4 linked regions of the Drosophila melanogaster genome follow. The protein of the gene in region 3 interacts with the protein of the main gene of each other region in a pairwise test. Each region holds a gene or a part of one and is shown on either strand. Other genes may lie near its edges. The genes, in order: teq, Fer1HCH, CG10949 and CG14315.

Evidence for each region.
Region 1: the proteins of CG10949 (region 3) and teq interact in a two-hybrid assay, tested with the Drosophila melanogaster proteins (one large-scale study listed by BioGRID).
Region 2: the proteins of CG10949 (region 3) and Fer1HCH interact in a two-hybrid assay, tested with the Drosophila melanogaster proteins (one large-scale study listed by BioGRID).
Region 4: the proteins of CG10949 (region 3) and CG14315 interact in a two-hybrid assay, tested with the Drosophila melanogaster proteins (one large-scale study listed by BioGRID).

What each region holds. Positions count from the first base shown.
Region 1 is NT_037436.4:9,071,136-9,079,522, reverse strand, and holds the start of teq (tequila), read right to left. Parts: upstream 4,881-8,387; 5' UTR 4,745-4,880; coding exon 4,694-4,744; intron 4,460-4,693; coding exon 3,901-4,459; intron 3,852-3,900; coding exon of another isoform or gene 3,657-3,851; intron 3,504-3,656; coding exon of another isoform or gene 3,258-3,503; intron 3,205-3,257; coding exon of another isoform or gene 2,728-3,204; intron 2,666-2,727; coding exon of another isoform or gene 2,502-2,665; exon of another isoform or gene 2,067-2,501; intron 1-2,066. Other genes in the region: CG4942 (uncharacterized protein), read right to left, coding at 5,204-5,794, 5,852-6,316; CG4911 (uncharacterized protein), read left to right, coding at 6,893-7,035, 7,622-7,777, 7,836-7,940, 8,002-8,387.
Region 2 is NT_033777.3:30,384,086-30,391,802, forward strand, and holds Fer1HCH (ferritin 1 heavy chain homologue), read right to left. Parts: upstream 3,535-7,717; 5' UTR 3,446-3,534; coding exon 3,379-3,445; intron 3,325-3,378; exon of another isoform or gene 3,027-3,324; coding exon 3,018-3,026; exon of another isoform or gene 2,799-3,017; intron 2,744-2,798; coding exon 2,633-2,743; intron 2,512-2,632; coding exon 2,234-2,511; coding exon of another isoform or gene 2,213-2,233; exon of another isoform or gene 2,172-2,212; coding exon 1,899-2,171; 3' UTR 1,717-1,898; downstream 1-1,716. Other genes in the region: Fer2LCH (ferritin 2 light chain homologue), read left to right, coding at 5,126-5,243, 5,331-5,357, 5,612-6,177. UniProt on the Drosophila melanogaster protein: Stores iron in a soluble, non-toxic, readily available form. Important for iron homeostasis. Iron is taken up in the ferrous form and deposited as ferric hydroxides after oxidation.
Region 3 is NT_033779.5:20,412,140-20,419,607, forward strand, and holds CG10949 (uncharacterized protein), read right to left. Parts: upstream 4,780-7,468; 5' UTR 4,566-4,779; coding exon 4,025-4,565; intron 3,968-4,024; coding exon 3,129-3,967; 3' UTR 3,034-3,128; downstream 1-3,033. Other genes in the region: Arpc2 (Actin-related protein 2/3 complex, subunit 2), read left to right, coding at 5,455-5,528.
Region 4 is NT_033777.3:18,154,301-18,161,224, forward strand, and holds CG14315 (uncharacterized protein), read left to right. Parts: upstream 1-4,400; 5' UTR 4,401-4,469; coding exon 4,470-5,123; 3' UTR 5,124-5,171; downstream 5,172-6,924.

The sequences.
Region 1 (8,387 bases), on a different chromosome or scaffold from region 3:
TGTCTCACCGACAACTACTTTCTGCAATTTGTTTATAATTGCTGGAATTGTCGTTTCATTGTCAACTGAGTTCAAAATTGTGCCAACTATTTTTGACTTAATGACCTCAACTGCAATGTCTTCAAATGGTCCCTTAGCTAGGTCTACCAATTTGATTGCCTTAATGAATCTTTGTAAATGGATCTTTTGCCCATCAAATTCTGGCACTGTGCAGGCGACTTCCCTAATGTAAGACCTAATGGCAGCTGCTTCTTCTGCCATGGTTAAGTTATTTTCGGAGTCGGCTGCGTTATTTGTTTTATCGTCGTTCTTCAGCATTAATTTTGCTGGTATAGTTAGATCGTGAAGATCTTCCTCTTTAATGTCTTCCTTGACTATAGTCCTATCTTCCTCGTCAGAGTTAGTGCTGTCTTCATTCAAATTTATTCTTAGTGGGGTGTTTACTATGGTTGGAATTTCTATCTGGAGACTGAATTTATTTTTTATAAATATTAATTTTTCTCTTAATGTCACCAGTAGGTTCAAAGCCTTAGCACACTGTTTGCGTTCCAAATTCTTTCTATTTTGTTGGATCAACTCTCTGATTTCATTATAACTATTTACCAAGACTTGGGCATTCCTATTGATTGTTACAGCTTGTGTTGATCTGTTTTGCGTTAAGCACTTATAGGATTTTCTGAAATTTTCATTTTGATCTTTTATCTGATCAACAAGCTTTTCCCAGTCCATGCTGTGGTATACTCATAACTTCAAATTTATTCATTTGTATATATTTTTTTTTTAATGTAGATAAATTCAATATTACGTTTTATATTTTTTTTTATTTATTATTTTTTTTTTCATATAATTTTTCTCATATTTTCATTCATAATTGACTTTATTAAAGATCTTCCTTAAATATTATCTATACCGTTAGCAGTGCTACGGTATCGTTTCTTAAGACACTTGTTATGCAGTTTGTATATTTTTATTAATGCATTGGATACCATAATTAATGCAATTACAATTAGTATTATGGTTATCCAGAACAAGTCTGCATTTTGGACTTCTACTTTATTTATTACATTGGCTGTAGAGTCCACAGTTTTAGTGTCTATTAGACCCATTTTGGGTATACTAATTTTATATTTTGGAGAATAGAATAGAAAATTTCCTTTGTATATACTTTTATTTTCAGTTTTACTTATTTCATTTGTCTCTATAGACATTTATGTTTGGAATTATCTATTTATAAAATCTTTCAATGTTCGCAAGAGTAAAAAAAAATTGTATTTTACATTGTTGCCTGCCTGATTCTAGCTATGGCTTCACGGGCCATATTGGGTTAACAGGGCATAATAGTATATGCTCCGTTTTACAATATTTCTTACAATTTTTCTTATCTATATATATTTTATATTTACTTTATATTTATATATATTTATTATTATATTCTGCTGTTGATGATGCTCATCAGGTGTCAGCTGGGCGTCGCCGGGGGTGGCACGCTGACACTCCCTCGCTGCTGTCTATTTCTTCGCCGCTGAAGACGTCGATGGTCGCTCACAAGTCCCCAGGCAGTGGGGACTCCAGATTCCTTCGCAGCCAGGGGGGCAGGACTTCTTTGGTTTTGTTAATGCTGGTGCTGGTGCTGGACATGCCTGGTATTTTGGAACTTCATTAATTGTGGGTATATTTTTAATATTATCTGAGTGAGTTTTCTCGAGCTTATGGGTCTTTAATTCTTGCTGATATTGCAACAAGTGGTCTAGCTCTGCATGTAGCTTTAGAGCTTTCGACCAAACCGGTGGCGTTTGCTGACCGTATATTAGCCACCTTACGTGGGCTATACGTTTATTCAGCTTAGTTTTCAAACCGCCACGGTGTTTGCCCATACTCAATAGAACTCTACTCACTCAGATTTTTCCTTGGTTTTTGCAGTTCCATTTAATTAGTCCAGTCTTCTTCCAGTCCAGTGTTCCTTTGTTCCTTTGTTTTCACCAGCTTTGGTCAATTCGTCCAGCGTTGGACGACTGTCACGGTCGCCATGTAATGATGAACTCCAATTAAGAACACAAGTCCGTTTTAAGTTGAAGGCAGCCGTCGGGCTGACATATATTTATTCAATTTCTTCTTTTGATTTTAGAGTAGGCAGAAATGGTTCTGTCAGCTCAACGTCTACAGAGTCTCTCCGATTTTACAGTTTTTTATATATTTGGACTTAGGCTAATCCGCGTAGCTGCGCTGCCGGGTACGCCAGCAGCGGAGCGGCGTTCTTATGTATATCTTATATATCTAGGCTTATCGGGAGAGCGAGATATGTATGTACGTATGTAATATGTATTTGGTCGGCGTGTGAATGCTGACCATGCACTTATACTTTTTGCCTTCGAGTGGGCAATGCACTTATACTTTGTGGCCTTCGAGTGGGTGATCATGTTACATCCGCCCTGGCCTAACTGCGTGCATAAACATAAACATAAACATAGCAACAAAGTGCTGCCATAAGTTAATATGCTATTTTATTTAATTGTTCTTAATATTGCATAGGCACATACTACACAACTCTCAATGAAGGTCTGCTGATTCCAGCACCTGACATACTTGGTGCAATCGAAGGGATGCAGATAGAGTCCCTGTGCTTGTGGAGGACAAGAAAGCGTCGAACGATCCACCATAAACTCAGCTGTAAACGAAAAAGTGGTCTGAAATCAAGTCCAAGTCATCAAGATTCCTTGAGATGCTTACTGGAAAGTTCAGCACTGATATAGGAGTAATCCAAGTAATCATGTGCAGAGAGAAGGCTACGAGGCACACATTGACGCTGGGAGAGGCTGTAAAGCTGTCCAGTGGGACAGCATATGATCTCTAATGCTCCATATTGGCACCTGACATAGTGGCCAGCATGGAATGGATAAGGGTAATTCTTCTGGACATTGGGTGGACACGATCTAAGTGAAGACAGCTGGCTTTGAACATTTCCCCGTAAGTCTTGAGAAGTATAAGTGGTCTGAACTTGGACTTCCTGCCAGAACTGCACCCGATCAGATATGTGCACTTGATGACTTGGAAGACAACTTCTTTGGGATACACTGAATGCCATCTGGGGGCCACAACTTAGGATGGACATTCTGCCACCAGACGAGCACTGAACGTACTTTTTAGCATCGTAGGGATACAAGAAGATGCCGTTGATGTTACCAGGACAGGCATTAAGGATAAGTGCTAGTAAAATATTATCATAAATTCTAGTGTACAGTGATGATAAAGTAACTTACAATACTCATAGCTGATTTCGGAGATAATTAATGTGACATAGTCGGTAAAGGCTAATTGTGCTTTTAACTGACAGTAGCGCCTCGATATGCTAAACACATAATTAGGTTGGCAGTTTTGCACAGCCGATTTACCATCCTTACAACTAAGGAATTTTGTTTGATCAAAGGGATGAACAAATTGGCCAACGGCTCCCACTGGACACAAGAGATAGTTGACCTGAATCTCAGCCGACGTGAAGGAGGAAGCTGTTACAATTCAAAGGGATCAGGATTAGAGTCTATCAACTAAGCAGGCAAGCAAAGCGTGTACAGCGTAATATGAGAAAATAACCCGAAATGAAAAAGCAGATGAATCAAGCGAGGCCAAGCAGTAGGGATAAGAAATGAAATGACACTTACAGGAGGTCCGAGGGGAGTCAGAATACACACATACCGAAGAGGAGCCATCGAAGATGTGGCCCCGTGGACACTGTTCCACCTGAGGCTTAACCCCAATTCCGCACCTCAAATACTTGTGCACGTCGTGCGGATGTGGACGAAGCCCACGTGTACCGGGTGGACAGCCCAAGTCATCAAAAGGCAACGCAGGGTAGCCTAACCGAGTGTTAGTCAAGATTTTTGTATTTAAATCACTCATACGTACCGGTGCCGGAGGTATCATCTCGTACTGCTCCAGTTCCCGATCCGCATTTGGCCAAATCCTTGTGCACACATACCAGTGATGCTGGACTAAAAGCAGTTCCTGGTGCGCAGTCCATAATAAAAGCTTGACCATTGGCGCAGTTAAGAAACTTGCTGCAATCCGAAGGATGCGGTTGCAATCCATTCACTCCCGGTTGACACTTGGGTTCACTATCTAATTGCCTAAGTCTTCCCAGTCGAGTAGATGCAGATTCCGCTGAAGGGCAAACCACATTGCTGGGATGATCGCACACCTGGGTCCTGTCATTGAACAGAGTTCCGGGCGAACACGTCTGAATGGTGGGGCTGCCATCGAAGCAGTTCACATAGCGATGACAGTCGTGGGGATATGCAACCAGACCCGTAAAATGCGGCGGGCATGCCGAATCCCGATGGTAAATAGGCTGCTGCTGGTCGCCTCCGTAACTCGAGTGTGCGTTCCCTGTTGCTGATAAGCCAACTGGTTCCGACTGCTCGCTGTGGTAGCCACTGCCTGATCGATAAGCTTTAGCCCCGGGTCGCTGTCAAAAGCGCAATTATGAAATATTATTGAACAACCGTAAGTAATTAGAGGCAAAATTTAGCTAATAGCTTGTAATTAAGTTCAATTAAAATTAAAGTCTTAAGCGCGTTTTAAATTCCTAAACAACATTTTTAGTTTGACTAAAATCTTAAAAAATTGTAAATAATCTAGAATCTAGATGATATCCTTAAAAAACACAATTTGAAATTATTAATAAACTTTCTACACTAACATCCACTAGCAGGATCGCCAGCCAAAGGCCAAGGAGCCACTTGGCCATCATTTTACGTTTCCGCTTTATAAGTATTTGAATTTAAATATTTCTTAAAATGCACCGATGCTGATAGCAACTACACAATTGTTTTTCTCGCGCTTTAAATTCTTCGTTGTGATCCCGTTCGAATTCCAGGCTCGACTGACCCACACCCAGATCGCATTTCAATTCAATTGGACTCGGGATGAATCTCTATCTCTGCCGCCGCTGATAGATGCTCTCGTTTGTCGCCAAACCAATTGAGTGGACCACACTATCAGGGCTTGTAATCTCAAGACCTTTTTGCTGTCTTATCGCCTTGTTTTGTTTGCATTTCTTTTGGGGTTTTTCACTCATTTATTTACTTCTATGAATCTGAGATGTTGGAGCTTAAGAATGATGATGATGAATTACAGTGGCGCAGTCGCATTTAAACAAACTAAACGTCATACCCAAATTAGACTAGGTGATTATGACTAAGAGACTAGATCATTTGGCTGCCGGCTTATCAGCCGGCGCCCTCTCGGCAAGTCTTAGCCTCTGCTGTATTTTTAGCCAGAGCAGATCGTACGGCTCACTGAGTTCCGTTTGTGTTTTGGGAATTCCCACAGATCGTCGCACTTCCGGCGAGAGGATGAGCAGATTTTGAGCAAGGCCAAAACTGCTGGAAGCTACCCAGTATACACATAAAGCTGAAGGCACTGTACAGGCTACTGGAACCATCACAACACTCAATCCACGGAACACATTGTTGGCGATGTTCTGCAAGCGTGTAGAAGGACGAGTTCTAGACATGGCTTGCACTTCAATGATGGCCAAATTGATAAGACCTAATGCTACAGGCAGGATATAAGAGTTATCCACCACCGTAAGGTTTGGTATCCAACCAAATCCGCCAATGGTCATTTCGGTGGTCACGATTTGAGCTTGAATGGACGTGGGATCCGGCAGCATGTACACTAAATTGCGCAGAGCCACGGATTGAAAGATCCACAGGGGAATCTGACCCCATAGCACAATCATGGTCTTCATGGGATGGCAGTTATCCCGAACTATAAGGTTCTGCCACTGCTTCTTGATCTGTAAGATAATTGACATGACGAAGAGTGTCTCGCAAACATTTGAATTTTAACAAACCGAACGCCGATAAACAATCTGAGTCTGCTTTTCGCTCCACTTGAACTTGTGCTTGGCCATGGCTGCCTCTTTTTTCAGTTCCTCCACAATGGCCGGCATCTCCAGCGCTATCTTTTCAATTCTGGCGGTGATTTTGTGCTGGTAAATGGTCAGAGGCAGGGTGACCACGCTCCGAAAAAGGAAAGTGGACAGCACGATGGACGCCCACCAGGGCAGGCCACTGTAGTCGTGGATCTTAATGAGAACATCCTGCATATAGGCCACCGGCGTGCTGTTGGACAAGGTCTGCCAATATCCCACCAATCCACCGGCATTTGCCAGTTGGACACTCGCGGCCGCCGCTTCTGTAGACGACAGACGATGATTGCATGTGTGATTCGCAATAGTTGTTCCTTGGTATGTGTATTTGTAGATGCCAGCAATTGATGAACTTCTACAGGTGCGTAAAAGAAGCAAAGCTGACATTTTTAATTAATATAAAACTAATAATCAACGTAAACAACTATATAGAATCAGCAGTGCGAGTTGTTATCATTGTGAACAGCTGATTGTTACCATAACACGGCTTCAATCAGTGTGGCCGTAGCTAGGCATTGTAGTTGCATTAACCCTTAACTTACGATGCTTTTTTTGCTATCCGAAATTAGGAAACATTGAAATGCAGTTATTAATTTGAAATCATTTAATCGTTGATAAGAGAACAATAACAAAATTTATACAGTCATTTTATACGACAGCAACACTTTTATTTCCTTTGCATTTTTACTCACTTTGAAATTTCTAAATTAATAATTATCTCGGCTTACTTAAAATGGCTAGACCTAATTTAAGTGCATAAATTGTTTTTTAATTGACGTTTAATTTCATACGTATATGCTTAAGATAAAATTGTGCTTGTATTCATATTTGTTTTCTTGGTCTTGGCATATTTGCGACCTCGTGCGACGGTCACTCTAATTTGGCATTTTAAATTGTGCAGCGTACTCGGCTGCACTTGCAACTTTTCATTGTTTGAAACGCAATTAACATTTAAATCGAGTAATGAATTTTAGCCAACGCCAACCAGAATGGCACAGAATACCATCGGTGGCACTAAATCACATATTCGACTATCTAAATCCCCAGGATCGTCGGTCGGCAGCGGGTGTATGTTTTTCTTGGAGACATGCCTTATTTCAAAAACGGTAAGTTTGTCACTGTGTGGGTGTGTCCGTATCCGTGTGGGTGTAGGTATTTGTGTATGTGGCTGAAATGTTTAATTTCAGTACTTATTGGGTATATTTCCTTTGTTATTGCCCCTTACATTATATAGCCGTGGGTTAATCAAGCGCAAAAAAACATCTGTGCAAGCAAGAACGAATCGTAGACCCCAAAACTTGTTCGACATTTATATGTTGTACTCTTCGCATTTGGCAAGCTTTCAATGTGTGGGGGCAAGCACCTAGGTCCGTTTGTTTATATTAGTGTTGAAAAAAGGGGAAAGTCCACGATAAGAGGAATTCCCCTGCCAATAAATGCAATTAATTAAATTAATTGATGCGATAAGCTGTGAGCTGTAAATTGCGATCTTAGCGATTGCGAGAAAGATACTTATTTTTCTTACCTTTTCTATGCTGATTCATTTATTGTATTTATAGTAATTTTCCTATGTTATTTAAATTAATTATATTGGTCTTTTGGACTAACAAATAGAAAAGAAATAAGCCCAATTTTGTAATTTAGTATTTACATCTATATATAATTAATCATTACCTATTTTTCACCCCTCAGCTATTTTAGAAACTTTCGCTTTCAATTGGATGTGGGATGCGATGATCAGTTGGCCTTCTTCCATCGCTCCATGGCCAACTTGGCCATGGAACTGATAGTAGTCTTCGACTTTCAAAATGCAGTTCACATCCAGAAAATGCGAGGACTTCTATACAAGTAAGTTTGCTTTAGAAAACCCAATGAGGACTCAACCTAACCATTTTCCATCCCACAGAGTGGCGCACTGTGATAACATCCAGAAATTGCGTTTCCAAACCCACAATGTCGGCCTTGTTGCCATCGGAAACATGCATAGCGAGCACTTGTTGGCCATCGAACAGTATGTACCATTAGAAATAAATAAAAAGTTCAATAGTTAGATATCCTGACAATCCCAACAGATGCTTTGTGGAGCCGTTGATTCTGTTTTTAAGCCGCAAGCGTCAGCCCTGCCAGCTTCTGGACCTTGGAGCCATCGAGGCCCTCTCATACTATGGCCATGATTTTCTAAAGGCTATGGGAAAACCACAGGAACTGCTGCAGCTGACACTCGCGAGCATCAAGTACGATCCTAGTCACTATCCCATCCTCTCGTTGGACTCGACCCTGCTGCAGAAATGCGCCGCCCTGCAGGTGCTCTCCCTCGACTACGACACACTTTCTGACGAACTGCTGCACACTATCCAGGTGCTTCCGCTGCGGAAACTTTTGATCGCAGTGCACGGCCTGGATAGCGAAGAGCATCCCGATGTGTCGGAGACGGCCTGGTCCAACTTTTCGGATCACT
Region 2 (7,717 bases), on a different chromosome or scaffold from region 3:
GGCCCATTGTCGAGAGGATTGATGCAATTTTAAATCCGCAACGAACAAGGACATCTGCTCAAATATTAGCTTATGAAATTGTTTAAAATGCCACGCACTAACCCATTCACTTCGGTCACGCTCCGGAAAACGGAAAATCTGGTCGAAGATGGCGGTGGTGGGCGGGAAACCCGAGCTCAGCCTTTTGACAGTTGCCACAATTTATCATAATTCAATGCATGGCATGACCTGTCAATCACTCGAATCGACATGGACGTGGACATGGACATCGAAGGGGTGAATCGAGCACACATTAGCCGCAGGGCAGGGGGTGGATAAGGCCGATGTGTTTGTGGACATTTTTACAAGTGACTTATGAATTATTCCGTGCACTTGCTCCTGTCCATCTGCAAGTAGCACACTGAAAACTAAATACTAGTTTATTACTTATAACAATATTTGAGCAAAGGGGAAGAAATTACTATAAGAACCTCGTGATATATAGTAAAAGTGAATACAATTTTTTGCAGTGCAGTTAGCGTCTCGCTTTACTTCCTCTTTATGGTTGGCTTTTTGTGTTTTCCAATCAGATTAGCATGGTAAGGGGTTAAGAGTACGGGGTTACCACCGCTGGGAGGGGACCACATGAAAGGGTCAATAATGGGACTCGAGACGAAGATGCTGACATTTATCAAACGGAATATGCGATGCGTACAACCATTAGACACTGCCCACTGATGGACGTCGGACGATGGACAGGCGAGACGTGATCCCAGATACGGCTCATCAAGTGCATTGTCGTGGGACAATAAAGGGTTAATCGGCTAACAGAGAGATTGCAATATTATCTTCTGAGCAAATTGGAGTTGGGAAGACAGCAAAAATTAGCGAAAGTAGATCCAAATATTAAGTGTATCAATTGTAAGGCGTATCACTTGATTCCGCACTCTACTCAACTCTCCAAGGACCTCTGTAATCTGATAGGCTTACTGAACCAACAGAGAGTAGAAACAAAGTTTTGCTTTATTGTGATTTTACGAAATAACCTACAACTTCACCATTCCCAAAAACACAATTTCTTTTTCCTTAAACATTCCAGTTTTAAACACCTTTTTTACAGTTTTTTCGTTGTAAGTTGGCCAAAATATGTCACAAGGCTGAAAAACGCACTTTTTTAGTCAGCTGGGGTCCTCAGCTAAAGACCCATATCAATATTTGCTTTAATTTGGAAAAATAATTTTTCGGCCAAATTTCGCATTTTTTGTAAGGGGTAACATCATAAAAAATCGAAAAAATTTTCAAACCAAAAATTTCTCTAAATGAGTTACCCGTCGTTTAGGAATATTTTTACAAGTTCAACGAGGTATTCCACTCCACAATTGGACGTGTCTTTCCCAAGATATAGCACTTTTTCTGTGAAATCCCCATCGAAAATTATCAACAAGAATAAAATCACCCTCGTTTTCCATCTGAAAAAACTCCCTCAAAAACAAACGCATATACAGTTTATTTCGTTACATATATATTGTTATTTATTTAAGAACTTGCTCGTCTAATTGACAGAAAAATATAAAGATATAGGATGTATTGAATGGGTTGTGCTGAGTGTCTTACTATGCGAATGAGCGATTCCACTTAAGCCTAGGCGAAATCTCGGCGATTGCATAATGTGGAGCCCCCTCCCGAGGTGTACGGAAATCACAAGTGGTTGATAAGAAAGAACAGACGTGGAATTTTGCTGTGCTGGTTTGAGGATCGCAGTCGAACGGATAATTTATTGGCCAGTCGCCGACTTGGCTGGTGATGATTTAATAGCGGACCCTCGGGAAGGCTCTCTGGGCTGACAGATAACAGATAACTCGACTGGCTGATAATTTTGATGCGTGACTGGGCGCTGCGCCTTCTCTATCTCCACCTCCTTACAGGGTCTTGTCGAACAGGAACTCGCCCAGTTCGCCGTTGGTGTCCATCATCTTCTTGAGAGTGGTCAGCTTGCCGGCGAGCTCGCGCTGTCCGTGGAGCTGCTCCTCCAGATAGACACCGGTCAGGTAGTCCACCAGGTGGTAGTGGTTGTAGGGCTTGTTCTCGCAGGTCTGGATCAGCTTGCGGATGGACTTGGTCACCTTGATCTCCAGGTCGAGGGCGTCGGACAGGGCGGCGGCACCATCGGTCCACTCCTGCTTGGCCACAGTCTGTGGGGGATTCGCCAGGATTAGCTGGGCTTTTGGGTTTTCTAGGCGAGTCGTCGACTTACCGGCACATTGATCAGATCGCTGACTCCCTCGGTCAGTTGACCGCGCATGGACAGGTACTCCACCAGCTTGGATCCGTGCTCACGTTCCTCCTTGGCGGCCTTGAAGAAGTGCTCGGCGAATCCAGGGCGGTTGACGGTGTCGCGGGAGAAGTAGGCGCCCATGGCCAAGTACTGGTAGGAGGCGTTGATCTCCTCCTGGATCTGATTGCGCATGCCCTTTATGCAGGCATCCTTCATGTCCACCCAGTCCTTGGTAATCTCAGGAACAGCCAGGGAGCCTGCAATGGGATAAGGTTGGGTTAAGTCGGGGGACCACGATAACAATATATGGCTAGTATTCAGCTTTAAAAAATTTATTTTTGTAATCAGAACTTAGGTAAATTTTAATATTTTAAAAACCTTTGCACTCTTGGTCTTGACCTTCATGGCTTAGGTTTTGTTTTTCTTTTAGTTGATGCTCTTCTCGCTCCCTTTGAAGCTCTCTCACGAAACTCTTGCTTTCTTGCTTGGCTGAGGGGTAGGGCGTTGTTGGTTATTGCATTTAAGAGGGCGTAATTGCATAAACCTTTGAAATTGCGCTTGAAATGCCGCTATTCTAGGGCACAAAAACCGTGTGCAAAACTGTAATGGCCTACTCTCCCACTCTCTCTCTCTGTTTTTGTAACTGCATTGGTAACGTGCGCAGCTCTCGCCGCCATAGTAACGGCATTTGTTTTCGTGTAGTGCCGTGTGCAAAAAGCATGGTTCACCATGCTAGCTCACTCGGCCCGTAAAAGCCGTGTGCAAAGAGCGCCTTGAAATGTAACAACAAAAAGTCAAGCTTATTTATACCGCAATATTCATGGAAATGAAAGCGAAATTCGCATTATTTAATTATGAAAATTTATGTATAAAAACTGGTTATCATTTCCCCAAAGCGCAACGGAAGTATCAATAACTTTTAAATCAACTGGTTTGGTAACTTCACTTCATTGACGAAAGAGAGTGAAAGAGCGTCAAAGAGAAACGGCGCATGCTCTTTTCAACGCATTACAAATGTTTTGCTTCTCTTTGCGTATTGCGTCGAAATTTATTGTTTTTTTTCCGATGACCTGCCTTTGTTTTGTTTGAAATTCTGATGAATAAAACGTAACATTAGTACTTACACTTGAAATCTCCATAGGCCTGGGCCACCACGGCCAACAGGAGCAGGCTAGCAATTAGTTTCACCATCTTTGATCGTCGAACGTAGTCTTTACACAAAATCACAGAACAAAAATTTGTTTTTCACTTTAGTTTGATTTGCTTGAAATGCACAAATGAGAATGAGGCGACTCGAGTTGAGCTACAATGTTAAATAGGCGTTGAAATTGAAAATCTAGCTGCCTTTACACACACTGGCGCAGAAGGCGTCGCCTGCTTCAATTTGATGGGCTTGATTGGGATTATTTTCGACTTCTCGAATGCTTTCCAGTACCTTCTGCTGACAGCTTTAATCTGATTTTTCAGTGGAGCTAAGGCCTTTCTACGTTGTGTTTTAGCGAACTCGAAAGCGAACTGTCGCTCCGAACGGCGCACAAAACACTTTTAAGCGCGCGCGCTCTCGGTTTTTCTTCGTGTGTGTGTGAGTGATGGGAGAGTGTGCACTGTTATCTTTTCAACATGTCGCCCGTTCTTTGTTAACCGTTTAAATGGCTGATAATTGAATATTCCCGATAATTGCCGCACTCAATGTGATACACACGTCCTCAATATGGGTATACTTTGTATAAAGTCGGGTTTCCTAGTCAGATAATCCCCACTTACTAAGAAGTAAATTTATCAAATGCAATATGGCCGCTCTTTTGAGATGCGCATCAGCTGTTCTTTGTTTTTGTTTTGGCCGTGGGAGAGCACCACGTCATGTGTTGCCAGGCGGTTTAATTATTGCTGACAATTTAATTCACATTTTGTCAAGTTGATTTGCACGTTCGAAGGGGGGATCAGTCACCCACTTTGATAACTGCTAATATGGCGACGGCTCTTTTTTACGTGTCGCTTGCAGAGCTCCAAGAATGACACTTGATAAGAAGGATACATGGTGGGAAAACTTACAAATTACATAATTTGTTTGTTGATTGGGGAAACCCTACATTATCTCCGAACCCAGCAATAATATGTATTGTAAATAGCAACAGTCTCAAGCTCGATGCTGCTGTGAATTACCAATATATCAAAACTTAAAACATTATCTTAGGAGGTAGATGGTTTATCTGCAGTTTATTTTCAATTCTCATCGTTAGCTGATAAAACTCTCAGGAAACCACTTGAAATCCAAAGTGCAGCGTCCATATTTTGCACACGCTGACAACCCTGTCGTGAGTCACCTTCCAGCAGGCGCAGCAACAACAGCACTGGCAGCGGCCATATTTGAATGACACCGAAATCCCGCACTGAGCGCAAAACAACACATGCCCATGCACGCTCTCCAAAACCACACACACACAGCCATATCGATCGCATAGAAAGAGACGTACGCGACGCTATAAACAGCAGTTGATTTTCAGAGTTTCACCAAGAAGCACATAAAGCGATTGAATTATTAATAAAAGCACAGGCACTGGAAGTGAGTTTTAATATTACTAACTAACTACTTTGTGAGTGTTTAGTTACGAAAACTAGAAAATAATATTCTGGAAACTGTGTTTTTAAACCGACCACCATATAAATTTAAAAACCAAAACATTCCATTGGTGGTGGTTTTGTTGTTAAAAAAGAGCACAGAAAATTCAAGAAAACGCTACGACGCAAAACGAAAAAACTCGCCCAAAATGAAAACAAAAGTGTCTGTTTTCCAATTGTCAATTGTTGTGAAACTAATTTCCTTTGTTTTCGCCTCTCGAATTTGATTTTAATTTACAGTAAACCGTCGACATGAAATTTTTCGTTGCACTCGCTCTCTTTGCGTGCCTCGGCTCTCTTGCCTTGGCCAAGGATGATGAATATTGCCAGAACACTGTAATCACCGCATGCTCTACGTCAGCCTTTTCGGGTGAGTAAAGAGAGCGCCTCTAAGAGAGAGTGGCTAATCTGTGTTGTTGCTTTTTGTATCTTTGTAAAACATAATAATAAAAACAAGCGCTCACGGGCTTTTTCACAGGCAAGAGTAAGTGAAATATAGATTGGATGTATTTCTGCACTATCTCAGATTTCGTGAAAATGAACACTTTCCAATTCTTACTGCATTACGGCCCTTACATTATTATTTTAAAGATACAAATACAAATTCAAAATTCTATTGCCTTGTTTAGTATGGCACTACCTAGTTAGGAACCATTAAGACTATGTCATTACTATTGGATGTGCTTCTGCTCTCCTATTCTAAGAGTGTGATCTTTATTATTTGCTTTTTCCCCGTAGCCAACTCCATTTGTAATGCCCGTTTTGCTGGCATTGACCATATTGAGCCCGAGATCCAGTCCTACATCAACGCCAACTTGGCCAAGTCGTACGACTACCTCCTGCTGGCCACCCACTTCAACTCCTACCAGAAGAACCGCCCCGGCTTCCAGAAGCTGTACCAGGGACTCTCGGACCGCTCCTTCGAGGACAGCATTGCCCTGATCAAGCAGGTGACCCGTCGCGGAGGAATCGTTGACTTCAACACCCGCCACGAGTCTTCCGGCTCCGTGAGCACCAAGCGCGGCACTCTTGAGGTCGACGAACTGCACTCCCTGGCTCTGGCTCTGGACACCGAGAAGCAGCTGGCCACCGGAGCCACTCACGTGCACTCCCGTGCCACCCACGCCACCGACGCCGAGAGGGATCCCGAGCTGGCCCACTACTTCGAGGAGAACTTCCTGGGCAAGCAGGCCGAGAGCGTGCGCAAGCTGTCCGGCTATGCCAACGACCTCGCCAAGCTGATGAAGGTCCCCGACCCATCCCTGTCCGTCTACCTGTTCGACGAGTATCTGCAGAAGCAGTAAGGAGTGGAGACCACCTCCTTTTCCTCCTTCTTTTTCTAACACGCTCCTACACTGTCTCCTCAAAATTGCTCTCATAATTCCCTTATAAATTTGTTTCCTTGGATTGTTCATCAATAAATCGCAGTGCAGCAGCAGCATTATCAAAGCAGCCACAAGTGAATAATTTACACCGCGAAATTCACCTTGATTTACCAGCACACCAGATTGTGATAATGTTATCATAAATAAGTTAGCAAGTTCGCCCCAGCAAATGTATCTTTAGTATGTACGTTACCGCTTGAACAAATAATAAACACATCAAAGAACCTAATTATCAACTAGTAAAACAGCAGCATTTTTGCCTCTCTGATAAGGTTTGGGTTTGGGTCGAAATGTATCTGGTCCTCAATGAGGGGCGTCTGTTTGCGTTTTTTCTCCGAGTGCTGCTGATTGCGGGCTGGCTGGCAGTGTACTTTGGATATCATATGGAACAATGAAATATACAAAGTCGAAATGGTATCGGAAACTACTCAGTTCTGCGATCACAACGGGTGTAATGTTCCATAATGTTGTGGTTTCTGATATTCTTAGAATGTGCCTTCAACTAAAAACCATATGTTTATGTACAAGCCATCAACGCTTGTCTAAAAATAAATAAATAAATGAGAATGTAAACCCATGTTGTAAATATCGTAGTATTGTATGCAAACTACGTTACCATTTTAAAATCATCTTTTTGACCATTCAGAGACTGGAATCACTTAGGATCTAGTGGGATCTATCTATCTCAATATCAATTTATTACTTTCTTTCAATTGACAACCTAAATCGATGGTGAAAAGTGAAACCTATCTCTCGCAGTGATCTGTGGGGCTTAAAGGAGCCCGACTATCTAATCAGTGATACACTCCTCCGCCGCTGATACGAAGGGGCCACGTTTGTCATTCCATGCGAGATTCTCTCTGTCGCCTTATCACTGCCTGGTGCACACGGCTTTGCCGCTCCGGAACCGGAGCAGATCCGCCGGGCGCCATCTTGGCCGTCTGCTGACTAAGTCGGAGACTCCACGATGACGTGGATGTCACATTGTTGCGTAAGCCGATGCAATCTCGGATTTTAATTGTCCCCTGAATTTGCATCGCAGTTTCCCTATCTTCCTCTGCTCCCTCCTCACTCTCCTGACCTACAATAATTGTTGTGAATCCCTATTTGTGAATATGAGTTTTTTTTTTATAATCCACATGGAAGCTCTATTAATTCTAGGAAATTCCGTAAGATCCTATAACAGCTGCTCAATTAACGTGTGAAATAGGTAAAAATGTATCTTTAATCACTTTTGAAAGTGGTTTTCTCTAAGCATTTTCTGCGGCATTTGAGTAGCTATTGTACTATGCGACTATGGATCCCAGCCACGCATCGAAGCAATTTATCAATTAGCGACGCCCATTCAATGAGGACTTTGCTCATATCGCCGCACATCCGGAGTACGGATACGGTCCACTAGCACGTGAAATGAACGTCAATTTGCCATTTTAATGCCAGGGGTCAGGGGTCATCAAAT
Region 3 (7,468 bases):
CACGTGCATTCATCACTGAAGCTGTCACCATTTGAGGTCATGTTTGGCACCAAGATGTACACCCGAGTTGAGGATCGGTTACTGGAACTGCTCCAAGAAGAAGTGGTCTGTCAATTCAACGAGGACCGCTATGAGATGAGACAGCTGGTAAAACGCAACATCGAGCAGGCGCAGAAGGACTACAAGCGCAATTACGACAAAAAGCGCCGAGCTGAATACAAATACAAAGCAGGTGATCTGGTTGCAATTAAAAGGACCCAATTTGTAGCTGGCCGCAAGATGGCAAGCGGGTATTTAGGTCCATACGAAGTCACAGGGGTCAAAGACAATGGCAGATATGACGTTAAAAAAGCAGCAAACGTCGAAGGACCCAATGTCACATCCACCAGCTGTGACAACATGAAGTTGTGGAAGTACATAGCCGAAAATGCAGACCTATTGTCATCCGGGTCGGATGATGATGATCAGGAGGGCCGAATGTAACATGGAGTAAGGCTGAAGGCTGGCAACAACCCGGTTGGCAGCGCTGTTGAGCAGCAACATGATTGTCGGAAATCGAAGTTATCGACAATCAGTCATCGAAGGAACGATCGCAAGGCAGCAGTGGAGTCGAGTGGAAGTCAGCGTTGCAGGCAGTCGAGTTCTCAGCAGCAGTCGTTCGGTCACAAACTAAGAATACTTTACATAATTACCGCATTTAGAATTAAACTAATAATTAAATTAATAATAAACAATAATAATAAACAATCTTACATATACATATACCGATGCACAGAGCCAAGGCAAAACTCACCAAATTCACAGACAACTCAGAAACTCGGTGCTCCAAAGCGGCGCAAATCTTCAGTTTGGATTTATTGTTATGCGATTCTCTCTAGTCTATATATATATAAATACAGGCTATATATACGTATGTGTGTTGGCATGGCACTGCGGTGAAATGTATTACAATTAATTTGGCACACACGGCGTATGCTGAATATTATTTGGTCTCTGCAATTGAGCAAATCCGCGGCAATTGGCAATTATACAAATTCTCTTCGCAGACAATCGCAACTGCATACAGTGCGCAGCAGACGGCCGGGTGCGCGGGAGGGGGCGTGGCAAATCCACCCACGGCCATGGTGATTGATGATTCGACCTCCGATGATGTGACAAAGTGGCAGTTCTGTACATGGTGCCACCCACGATGCCCGAGGTGATTCGAGGTCGGGTCAAAGGTCTGCGGCTGATTTGAACTTTAAATGTTGCAGCGACATTTGCATTTGGGCTTTAAAAATATCACGCACGTGCACTATGGCTGCACATGCATTACGTCCAGCTTGCAGTTCACTGAAGAAGCGAAGATATTTACCCACGCCAGTTCACCCAGTTGTCAATATAGTACGCTGAACTTGTATTTAATGCGTTTATTTCCATATTAAGATTTATTATTTATTTATACTCGTAGAGTGCAAGGGTATACCAGATTCGTTAAAAAGTATTTAAAAGGCAGAGGGAAGCGTTTCAGACCATATAAAGTATTCTTGATCAGGATCAATAGCTGAGTCGATCTGACCTGTGTCCGTTTGAACGTCGATATCTCAGGAACTATAAAGCTTAACGTTCTAGCTTTTATATGTATTGCGACCAGAACTGTATTTGAAAAACTGCATTATATTTTTTATATTGTTATTATTAGTCTTTTAAATTTCTATCGATTTTATATAAAAAAATCTTTTTGCCACGCCCACTATATCGATATGCCAGAAATATTATTAAATTTTGCGTTCTCACTTCCACTCACTACGTAATGGGTATCTGATAGTCGGGGAAATCGACTATTGTATTCTGTCTTGCTTCACTTGAATAAATGAAGCAAATGAAAAGGAATTTAAAAATAGTCAAATACTCGACTATCAGATACCTCTCACCCAACTTACATACGAGAGGAAGATAAAGATATTCGAAAATGGAAGAAGACATTCTTTTGCCATATTCCGAAGCAAAATTGCAATTCGTATGATTCATACTTTTATACTTCCAGAGATCTCGACTTTTATTCGGACAGATAAACGGACAAACGGACTTTAGGTTATGAGACGCTTTCTTCTTCATGTATCATTCTTTCTAATGAGTCTAGTTTAGCCTGGTAACTCTACGAGTAGATGGAATAGCTGATCCCAACTGACACTACTTGTCTGGATGCACTTACCTGTGTGTCAACAAAGAATGCATCTAGTGCGTCTAAAAGCAGCCAAAAGGACCACCTGGGTGCCGCCTCCAATGCCGATGATCGAGCTAATGGCCGCCAAGGCATGGAGCGATGACATGGGGTTCGGTCTAACGAGGAGGATGGACGGCAGGTGTCACAGCGACGGGCGCACTCTCTTCATCCATCCGCTTGGGCCGCACCACTCGACGCGGGGAATCCGGATCCCGGCCAGAACTTCAAACGCTTGCCGCGCACTTCGTTTATTTACACAAGAAACAAGTTTATGCCCGAGAAGAACCATTCGCAGGCACTTAGCAGGCGCTCGCGTTTATTATCTTAATAATAATTTCAGAGTTCAGGCGGCGCTCTTTGACGCACAACTAGGGATTCCTGCTCGCATGAGAATGGGATTTGGATCGGTATCTCTGGGTCCCGACCAACTGCACCGTGCGAACCGGAGGCGGCAACTAAGCGAATCGAGAATCTGTTGGCACTCGCGCTTCCCAAGAGCCAAGTGCACGCCAAGCGATTTGTTTATCCATCTGCTGCGTACGCGCGAATTTGTTCGTTATTAATTGCAATAAATGGTGTCGGCGTGGGCGCTTTTATTTATTTCTGTTTTTTGTTTTTGGTCGGTATGAAATGTTTGTTTCTAATTTTCGCGTAACCGAAATATTTGAATAATTCAGCGCCCTCTGGTGGCGGGTAGCGTTTGATGGCGATGGTTGTGGTTACGCATTTCAATGCTTTTCAGCACTGGTAATTTAAACAACTCAATTTGAAATCTACAAATATTCAAACCTTTCTTTTTCAATATTGCCTTTTGAGCCACAATATTTAGTAAGTTTATTTATTTACAGATATTTTCATGCTTACACTTATGTAATAACCCTTCTTCGTAATACTTTTGCAGCTAATCTACAACATTCTAATTTCAGTTAATGACCTGACAAGGTGCCACATCCTCGATCTCCTCGCCATCGAGGGCTTTGATTTGGCACTGGCACAGGAACTGCACGATCTTACGCTCGGCACTTGCCCGCTCAGACGGACTCAGTCCGTCCAGCAGCATCTGAGCCTTGGCAAGCAGGCTGTTGGCAGGCTGTGTACTTCGCTGTTCTCGCTCCTGCTCCTGTTCGTGGTGAATCTGGGCCTGCAGCTCCCGGGATTGCTGAAGCACGGTCTCCATGTTGGCAATCACGGTGGTCAACAGTTTGTCGGAGATGGCGGCAGACGGTACAGAGTCCCCAGGGAGAGAGGAGGACTCCTCTACGACGGGATTTACCCTGGCGATTGTGTGAATTATTTCCTCACTGGTGGCCGGCGTGGTGGTGGTCACCTGGAGCTGCTGTGGTGGCTCCAAGTCCTGCCGTGCCGTCGCTTCGCTGAGGATAAAATCGTACGGCGTTGCTTGCTCCGCCTCCGATAGTATCTCAATCTCTTCATCGTAGGCCAACTCAAGATCATCCTCCAGATCGTCGTTGTCCGTACTGTAGGGGTAATCAGCGCCCCAGATTTGCTCACCACTGGAGATCACCATTCCCTCCGGCTGTTTGCTGGTCTTTCCCGAAGGATTTCCTGCTTTGGGTGGTCGTCCACGTCGCTTGATGTTCTCCAAAACCAGGGGCACTCCTTTGCGGAAGTGGCGGCCCAGAAAGAGAAGGTCGTTAAAGTACCTCCACGTGATGGGCGTGGACTGGTTGATCTGATGACTGCGGAACTCCCGCCCGAAACGATCACGCAGCTTCTTCCAGCGGTTGTAGCAAAGTTCCTCTATTGAAAATTATCGGCATTAAGGGCTGAAGATCAAGAGGGTTACCCCGAGCTCACCCGACACATTTAGGTTTTCAGAAATCTCTCGCCAGGCTTCGTTTTTCGCTGCTAGGTTCTTGGAGACTCTGATCTTGTGACGATCATACAGCACGGGATGAGACTTGACCAGCTCAATGAGCTGCTCGTTCAGCAGGTCATCCTGGGAGTCCTCCTCCTCCTCGTCCTTTCTCCGCCTCTCCTGCTCCATGTCCACTTTTGTGCGCTTTTTCCGCTCCCTGGGCTCAAAACGCATCCCGTCGAGACTCTCGTTCCTTGCCAGTCCCTGTTTGTAGTGATCCTTGAGAAAGAGCAGTCGCGGAAACATGTCCCAGTAGGTGGGCTCATCCGGACGCTCCTGGAAACGGCGAAACTCCTTGCCGAAACGATCGCGAATGCTCTTCCAGCGCGTAATGCACGCCCGTTCCGAGGCTCCTAACTTCTGGGAGATGGCCTTCCAGGCCGCGTCCTTTTGCGCCGCATTCTTCACGCTCCTCGCGCAGTCCTTGTCGTACAGGATCGGGTGTCTCTCTATCAATTTAATCAGCTCATCGTCGTCCATTGATTTTCGCTATTATTTGTTTTTATTTATTCTGAACGATCCGGCAGCCTGGCGGGAAATATTGATAGTCGATAGGCGATGGGTCATCGCACAAAAAGGGCTGCCAGATTATTCTGTTAAAAAAATGTGCCTCTTAGTTTTATAGCACCGTTATTATAACAATGTTAAATAAAATATTTGTGTGTTTGTCTTAAAATGTCTTAATACATATTTATAATTTAAAGTTCGTGTGTACGAATTTCGTTTAAAATATATTCTATTTTATATATTTTAAAGAAAATTCTCTTTATGTTTGTTAAAATCTGCTGGTTTGAATTTCTGTGTAACCTGATAACATTGATGGTCGATAGCTCGATACTTCAATCTTTCCATCGGTGAGTTTGCCCCATCTCTATTGTGCTACCTGGCAACGCTGTGAGCAAGGAAAATACGGCAGCGTGCTCCCCGTTTTCCATCCACGTTTTGTTATAATTTTATAAGTATTACGGTCTGAGACCGATTTTGCACTGCATCGTGCGCGCTGCAAGTACTGGCGATTGGAAATTGGAGGCGCGAAAAGAGGATAAGGTGGATTTTCTTGCAACTGTGTGTGTGAGCATTGGAATTCGCCCGTGTGTGTGGCGAGAGTGCGTCCATGTGTGTGTGACGGACCAAAAAAGCCGACATCAGCGCCCATTTTTTGTTGTTGATTCATTAATACGCCCGTCATGCACCAGTATTGGTGAGTTGGAGCAGCGCACCGTCTTACTCGCACTCAACGGAGCGCAGAAAGAGCGCAGGGAGCGGCAGAAGAAGAAGCAGCGAGCAGCAGCACCATTAGCGGCAGTCAACGTCATATAATTTGTCATCGAAATTGGCACACTAAAAATAACAGTTAACTTCAACCGCCATGATCCTGCTGGAAATCAATAATCGGATTATCGAGGAGACGCTGCTGGTCAAATACCGTAATGCCCAGGCTGGGTAAGTCAATGCCTTCCAGTCCCGTTTCCCCAATTTCCATTCCACCATTTTGATTTCTATGCTGCATTCCCCACCGTTCTGTTATCACCAGTCGGCTTTGTTATCAATTTCGTTAGCTCTCTCTTTCCTCGGGAATAAATTTGGGTGTAGTTCCAGCCTTGGAACACTCATCGCTGCAGCTCTCTCCCTCCCACACACGTACCCAAGTACAGTGCAGCCCCCTTACGTCGACAGCGTATTAGTTAATTCATTACAACTCGCTATTCGCATCATCGGTGCTGAAAATCTGCAAAACTGACTCATCCATTGACGTGCATTCAAACGCATACGCTTGTGATGATCGAAAATATTAGTATTTATTTGTTCCTAATCCCGAAAAAGGATATTATTATTGAAGAAACATTATCAAAGGAGTCGTGTTACGAAAGAAATATGTTTAAGCTAAACGGTTTAGAAGAAGCTTAGACGAAGCTTACAGACTAACAAAATTATTAAAATTAGTAAAATAACTTATTGTACTAACAGCACTATCAGCAGAAAGAGGTATTTGTGTTTGGTAGCGAATGATTAAGATCTCACATAAATAAATGTATTTAAATGCTAATAGTTATGATGCCATTAGTTTATTCCCGATAAGATTGCAGTGTAATGCCTGAAATTAAGGCAATAAAAGTTATAAATTGTGGAACAAAAGTGGCATACTTGGAAAAAATCTCCTGTTGTGTCTCAAATGTTCCAAAATAAACCAAAAGGACGAACGGCATCCTGAATAATCAATCATATTATAGCAGATGACTTGTGTTCGTGTACATAAAAACTAATAGTTTCAATATTACTCCCCTATTATCTGTATTCTTGGGAGACAAAGTTTACATGCTAAAGATTCTCCATTTTCCGTGTCTACAACGCTCCGATATAAATTGTAACGCTTAAATCATCTTGAGTAATTCTTTTTGTTTCTTAAGATAAATACTTTCGTGTACATTATTGCAAATTTTAGGCTTTGGAGCCAAAGTGGCATTCTTCAAAAACAATATTTGATCTGTGTCTCAAAAGCTCCAACATTAACTAGAAAGACGAACGGCATCCTGAATAATCAATCATATTATAACAGATGACTTGTGTTCGTGTACATTTGCCATAAAATGTTCAACTTTTGTAATATTCTGGAGTCAAAGTGGCACGTCTTACGATCTTCCTGTAACTTGTGTCTCAAATGCTCCAATATCAAACGAAAGGACGAACGGCATCCTGAATAATCAATCATATTATAGCAGATGACTTGTGTTCGACTACAATAGTATTCGATTTATTAGACCAATAATGCCTCGGGAGACAAAGTTTACATGTTGAAGATGATGTGGCTTCTTTTTCGTGTCTACAATGCTCCAAAATAAATTGTTCGTTTAAATCGTCTTATTCGATTTATTTTATTGCCTAAGATGGTTGCCAACTGCACAACAACTAATTAAATATTTGGGTGGAGTTAAAGTGGCATATTTTATAGCTTTCCTTTGATCTGTGTCTCTATCGCTCCAATATCAATTTTATAAGCGAACGGCATCCTGTTTAATTACTTATATTAAGACAGACGACTTGTGTTCGTGCACAACTTCAAAATGCTTCAATAGTCATATGGAGAAAAAGTTTACATGCTAAAGTATTTTTCTTTTCCGTGTCTACAATGCTCCAATATTAATTGAACGTCTAAATCATCTTGGATATAATTATATTTCCATAGATAAATACATTCGTTCACAATACATTCGTTGTTCATATGAAAATGGATTGGAGTCAAAGTGGCACACTTAATCCATTTTTATTTGTGTCTCAAATGCTCCAATATCAAATGCAAAGGCGAACGGCATCCTGAATAATTATGCATATTATAACAGATGACTTGTGTTCGCCTACAATAGCTCCTGATAGCTTTACATTCC
Region 4 (6,924 bases), on a different chromosome or scaffold from region 3:
AGGCATTTGTGGAGCAAACAGTTAAACGAGCGACATGTGTTGAAAGTCCTGCGAGGACAGCTGTTTTTTTTGGCCATAATTAAACAGGAGTTGTGACCGAAGAGCAGCCATAAGTTCTGAAAATGCGAATTGGGACATTTTCAAACTGGAATTGTATCATTTATGAGTAAGAGCAGCTTGTTGCATAGCTATTTCGAGTTGTTTCAAATGGGAATTAAAACTAAGCTGATGTACAAATCATATGTATGATGTCAATTAAATATATTAATAGCAATCTACAAAACATATTTCACTGATTGTTTAGCACAGTGATTGTTTGTGCCACATATTCGATTTCTCCTTTCTGGCTGACATAAAAATCACGAATGCATAGACTCTAATAACTTTTGTGTGACCTCTGTCTGCCCTTGGACCCGCATTCCTTCCATTCCCCCAGTCAGCGAGGAGCTGAGCCAGTTTCCAGATCCCTGAAAGCTAGTCCACTAATTCGTTTTCACACTTTTCATTCATCGGACAGGTCGAAATGGCTGGCGGCGAATTGGCAGCGCCTAATTTCATACGCCAGTCCAAGTTCTGCCACACAAGGCAAAAATTTATAATAAAAAAAGAAAAATTGATATTAAAAGAGCATTTGTTAGTCGGCTACTTAGAAATAATTTGGTAAAAGTTCTAAAACCCACTTATAGACACAGTGATGAAGAAAACGCCTTCAGTTTATTGCTGCATACTTTTCGACAGCTTTTGAGATATATACCTCAAGGATATTCATGTGATTTTCTTTCAGTGCACATGGCACCCGTCGCCAGCCGACTAATATTTATATTTGCCCTGCATTTCTCACTCCGCCGATTGCCAGCGATTTGATAAGCAAATGGAAATGCAGTTCGCTGGAGAAAGAGAATAGTGCTGACGATCGGAGGAGGATTGCTGGAGCAGGAGGGAGCAGGGGGGCGGGGGGGTTCTGTCCGACGATGGCGGCGAAAGGTGCAAATAAATAATTTGCAGTAGCCGGGCGGCGACCACTCGACGACCCACTGTTGGCCTACCTACCAACCAACCAACCGACTTGGCCAACTGAAACCCCAACTTCGCTCCATCGAAAGCGACGGCCAGACAAATATTTTATTGCAAATTTGCTGATATTGGACGACAGGCGGGCACTGGAGCAGTTTGTAGTGCTGCTGCTATGCTCTTGTCCGGCTGTTTTGCATATTAAATTTATTTTATTGAATATAGCCAAAGATTTAGTTAGATACGCGAGGGTGGATCGTGTAGTATTCAATCATTAAAACTAATTATATCAGAAGTCAAAAGCCTAAACAATGTGATTGAGTTGAAACAATTTTACTACTGAGTCTGCATTTTTAGTTGGTAAAACCAAACTCCGACTAGACTAGCTAATAAATGTGCTATTTTAATAGGCTCTTTCTAGCAAGTAATTGCCGAAGAAACACTGGAAAACTGCTCTAATAAAGTGGCCCGTAATCGACTGGAAACCTAAGAGATTTTCCCCCCAAAATTACCGACCGTAATGTGCGAGTTTTGCGAACCGCCCTCTTGCTGGCCGGCATGTGCGCTTTTCCAGCTCATTGTGATGGCCTCTCCACCGGGTTAGCTGTGTGCAGCCCCCGCCGGCGTTGTTGGCGCATAATTGCCATCGGATTCGGATGGTGGATGGAGGAGGCCCAGCGGGCGATGAATTATTAATTGCCGTTGATTTGCATTGAGATCGGAACGGTTCGGGATCATTACCGCGACCGGCAATCTTGCCGAGCGTACCAATCTTGCATATAGTGTAAACATAATAATCAACGGGCATTATATGCCGATATTTGCCGATATATATATATTACATACATATGCATGTGGCGATCAGCAGAATGCGCTTTTGCAAAATGGCCGGCGGTCAGCGCGGCCCCCAATTGACACCTGAGCGGCCGAGCTGCCTATTATTGCTATTTGCGCTGCTGTTGCTGCAGTTGCAGCTGTAATTGTTATTTATGCACTTGCATTTAGCCGACTGTATGTGGCATGTGGAGCAGCGCATAGCGGCCATGCCCCCTGGGATGGGCGTAACGCCAGCAATTTGCAGTGCTGCGCCAACGATTACGTAACAGTTGGGAACACTTAATTGTGGGGCGAAAAGCGACCCACAATGATGATCAAAATTAAAGTGCACTTCGTCATTATCAGTCGGAAGAAAAGAGGGTTTAGAATCCCCGATCTATTTTTATTCCTCAAAATTAAGAGCATATAATTATTAATCACAAATCACCGACAAGAAATCTTCAAATGTCAAGTAAAACTCCAAAATATATATATTTTTTGTTAATAATTAAAAACATCCCGACGTTTACTGTGTATACATATTAAATCAATATTAAATATAATTACCTTGATGCAAATACAAATATTTGGATTTCTAAACATTACCAATTAGATTTTCCAATTGGACTTTGCAGTCTAGTTGGACACACACGGACGCACGCACACGCGCAAACTTCAATATGGCGGCCGCGACAAAAACGAGACAGAAGATCCTTCTGCTGATCTTACAAAATCGGATAAATAAATAAATTTGCTAGTTTTTTTTTTGTTTTGGGCAGGGCTCGCGTGCTTAAGTTCAACTTGAAAAAGTCGCAAGTGACTACTGTGCGATCCCTGGAATCTCAAGCGGGAAAAAAATAAAGATAAAATGTGTACACAGGTACATACATACATATGTACATACATATATGTATTTATGTACGTAAGGAGCAGCTGCCCTCTTTTGTTGTTGCACTTAAAGTCGCTAAAATGCGGTGCGTTCGCTTGTCAAAATTGCAGCAGCATTCAGCCTTTTTTATGTTAAGAAGCCACAAAGAGATGACGCAGTCGAAATGGTTAAATGAATTAACCCTTTTACTTTGCACAAACACACACACACACATGTGCTTGCAACAGGCAATACAGTGGCTACAACAACAATAGCAGACAGGGCTTTGTGATTTTTCTGGCCGTTCTTGTAGTTTTTTGCCCAACACACGGATTAAGCTACACCCTCGGAAAAATATTCGACACAAAATCACGCGATTTAAACTAAAAAATAAATAAATAACACAATTGCGCGGAAACTTGGGAATACACGGCGCTAAGGATATCGATTACTTATTACTTATTACTTTTTATCGATTCGCATCGTCGGAGCATTCGCAGGGTACTGCCAACTTATCTCAATTTCCTAAAGGTCATTGAACTCAAATATATATATAAAAAAACGAATGTAGCATTGCATTTATAGCCATTGATTAATATGAAAGGAAAGTATGTATAAAAGTGCAACCAGTATTTGAACTTGCATAAGTTAAAAATCAAAAGTTAGCTTAGGTCCTATGATTACACCAATCTATTTGACCAAAGTACATAATTAAATATTACATCCAAAATTCAATTGTTCCTGTACAAGTGTACTAACTTTTTGGCGTTTCATGAGCGGCTCGTGTGTACAAACATTTATTTAAATGCTTACCCCCACCCCGTAGCCACTTCAGATGAAGCTGGAGCTGGAGCCGAATCTGAAGCTTGGAGCTTGAAGTTTGGAGCACGGTGGAGAATTGCGCGTAAATTCGTTGCGGTCTGCGCGTCATCAACGTAATCGCCGTCAACAGCAGTCAACAGCATCAAACTGGCAGGCAAATGTTGCTACTGTTTCCAGACGCAGTCCGTCCGGCCAACAGAAGCAAACGAAGCAACAGAAGCACCAACCGCCGCAGTGAAGTGGTTTTTTATGATCAGACGAGATGAGCCGAGCCCAAAGCAGCACTTTCCATCCGAGAAAGAAACCGAGGCTACAACAAAAGCGTGTCTTTCGAGTTCGCTAATGGGAACTACATATATGTATGTACATACATATGTACATTCCGGGTACAAAGTGCATTTTGTGGAAACCCTTTGGGCAGAATGTAAACCATTAACAAATTGTAGCAGACCTATGGCCTATACATTTCTTATTTGTTTTAACTGTTTTGACTCTTATAAATGAACATATTTTCAAGAATCTGAATTAAATTGTAAATTAGTAGAATGAAGCTCTTTCGAAACTACCTCGCTTTGCTCCTTCCGTTTGATCATTTGACCATTTTTGACCATTTGCTTTAGGTTATGGCATTTTGTCCATTTCGTATTGGTCATTCGGTTTTGGCCATTAATTTCGTTATATCATTTCGTTTTTGTCTTGCTTTGGTTATTTCGTTTTGGTCTTTCATCTTAGTCAGTTCGTTTTGACCATTCGTTTGGGCCGCTTATGTAGTTTTAGCCAAATCTTTTTGACCAAATTGACTTGAGCTTAGTTCCTGGCTCTACATATTCTGTTATTTTTTTTTTTTTTTAATTTTTGAGCTGGAATTAAAGCGTTTCACTTCAAACATAGTACACCTGTCGCACAGACTTATTGTAGTTAGTTTTGTCAAGCGTTCGAAGCGACTGCAGAAATGAGGGTCTACTTGTATCAAATGCGCCCGGTGCTCTTTCTCTTCTACATGGTGGAGACGACGGCCAACTTATTCGTTTTGTACTACCAACTGAAAGCATTTGTTTTCGTCAATCTGACAACGATGAAATGGGAAGATGTTCTAATCCAAAGCTTTTATATGTCCTTCTTTTACATATTCACAGTGGTAACGCTCTTTGCCAGCATAAATCTCTGCACCGGTCATCGCACATCGATCGTTGAGGAAGTTGTGCGTCCTCTGATCGGATTTGTTCTATATACGGTAATATCGTTGATGGCACTGGGCGATGCCGAGACGGATTTCTATATATGGTATGATGGAAGGAACCCGGATGATTTACTATATCCGGAGAAGCCGCTCCATCCGTTCTTCGGTAGCCTGCGGGACCAGGCGACAGCCTCATTGGTGTCCAGTGTTATCTATCTGCTGCACTGCCTCATTGCGTTGGATGTCCTTCTGTCGAATGACGATTCGGATAACGAACGCGAGTCATCCAATTCCTCCGACGATGTGAACGAAGAGGTCGACTACGTTCCAGTGCGTCTGTACGTCTTTGGCGGCGTGATGCAACGCTGGCTGGAGCAGTTCGACTGGTTTCAGGACTTTACCCACAGTGGAGTCACAGATATCTGATATTTTATCATTAACTTCATTTATACAACTACAAATTACATGATAAACAAAACTTCGCATCGCTTTTCTCGGTGATTATGCAGCCTTTGGATTTTGGTTACATTCGGTGCAAGAAACCCTAATCATCAGCATTCCCATGACGTCAGTGGGAAGCAACAGTTCGGTCTCTGCATCATATAAAGCTCATTGTCGTCAATGTGCCAGTGATAAGCAGCTGGGGCCAAAACATCTACATAAGTACGCGTATCTATAGTATCTATGTATCTTGGTACGAGTATCTGTATCTGCTAGTGCGCAGGTCCAAAGTTAAAGCGAACAATCGATATATGTACTATGATGTTTGGGGCAAAGCGGCAGTCAAGAGCAAGGTGAAGCATTGCCCCGGTGCTCCTGGGTGTGGTGCTTTTTTCATTCATAAAAAAAAACTGGTCCACATGACATGTGGACACATTCAAGGCTATTTCTAGACCAGACCAAGGATGTCCTTATGCCTCTCATAAACTATGCAATATGATTAGAAAGTCTGAATGTTTAGAATTAGTTTTATAAACTCACAAACTTCGGTGGATCAAAAAGTTTGGCCAGGTGAAGCTAATACTATGGCCTACTTTTCGGGGTTATTTTAATAATATGATTATTGCTGCCATGCTTTTGTATAAACAAATCAATTTCACACTCTTATTAAGTAACATTTTTAAGTACTTCCCCTCTTATAAAGCTTGAATTTTCCATACGGAAACCCAATTCAATCTTAAATGCTACAATTTAAATAAAAAATCACATAAATACTCGACTTTAAACAGAAGTCAAACAAAACAGCAATAAATCTGCTCAAAAATCACGCTTAACAAGAAGAAAAAACATATTTTCCGCCCACGCAATAAGCGAATGTGAAAATGTACATAAATGCGAGAGGGAAAATCGATAAGGACGCCATTCCGCAGGAGCGTCGTGTCCTTGAAATCGAAAAAGGGAAAGACCATTCATGAAGTTGGCCGAACTTTTCATGAATGAAAACGGCCAGCGAGGAGAAAAGTTGACACATTTCGGTGAGTTTGCGCACCATAATGTGCGAATTTTCCAAAGGGGAAAATGTTCTCTCTCCAATTTCACTGCGAAAACTTCCCCATTTTTTCCGGCCACTGACGCAACCACAATGCGCTGTTCCAAGGTCAGCGTAAAATTTCATTCATAAAACTGATACGCCCCGCGGCGTAGATATACATGTATATATATCCATGGCGCGTGTAAGTTCCCAGAAGGTGGTCATGGTTGGGGGACAGGAGGTTAGAGCTGGATGTTGGGCGCGGATTTGGGCCTGAGTGAGCACTCCATTTGCAGCTTGTTGATTTTTCTACGCGTGCAAACACAAACAAAGTGGGAAACCATTTCATTCATGAATCCAACTCAGGGGGAGGATTGTGGGGATGCTCCAAACTTCTGATCCCAAAGATTTTTGGGTGGAGCTCGTCCAGAAAACAATTTCGCGCTAAGCTGAAAGCAATTTTCGCCCCTAGGAATTTGTGGTAAACTTAGTTTAGCTTGGCTTTCATTCAGCTGGGAGTCAAATCTTGCTAACTTGAAAATGTTAAAGGTTATTGGTTAAATGATGCGTATTTGTAAAATAAATGAAATTGTTGTGTACGTCACATAGATTTTATGTTTTAAATTCCGTTCAGTTAGATTCGATTTTTGCCAAGTTGAAAAGTATTTATTACACAATCTGATGGTAACGTGTCGTATGAGTAATATTTTTACATAACATCGCCAAGTTTTTGTCCTTTGCCTGTATTTAAGCCAC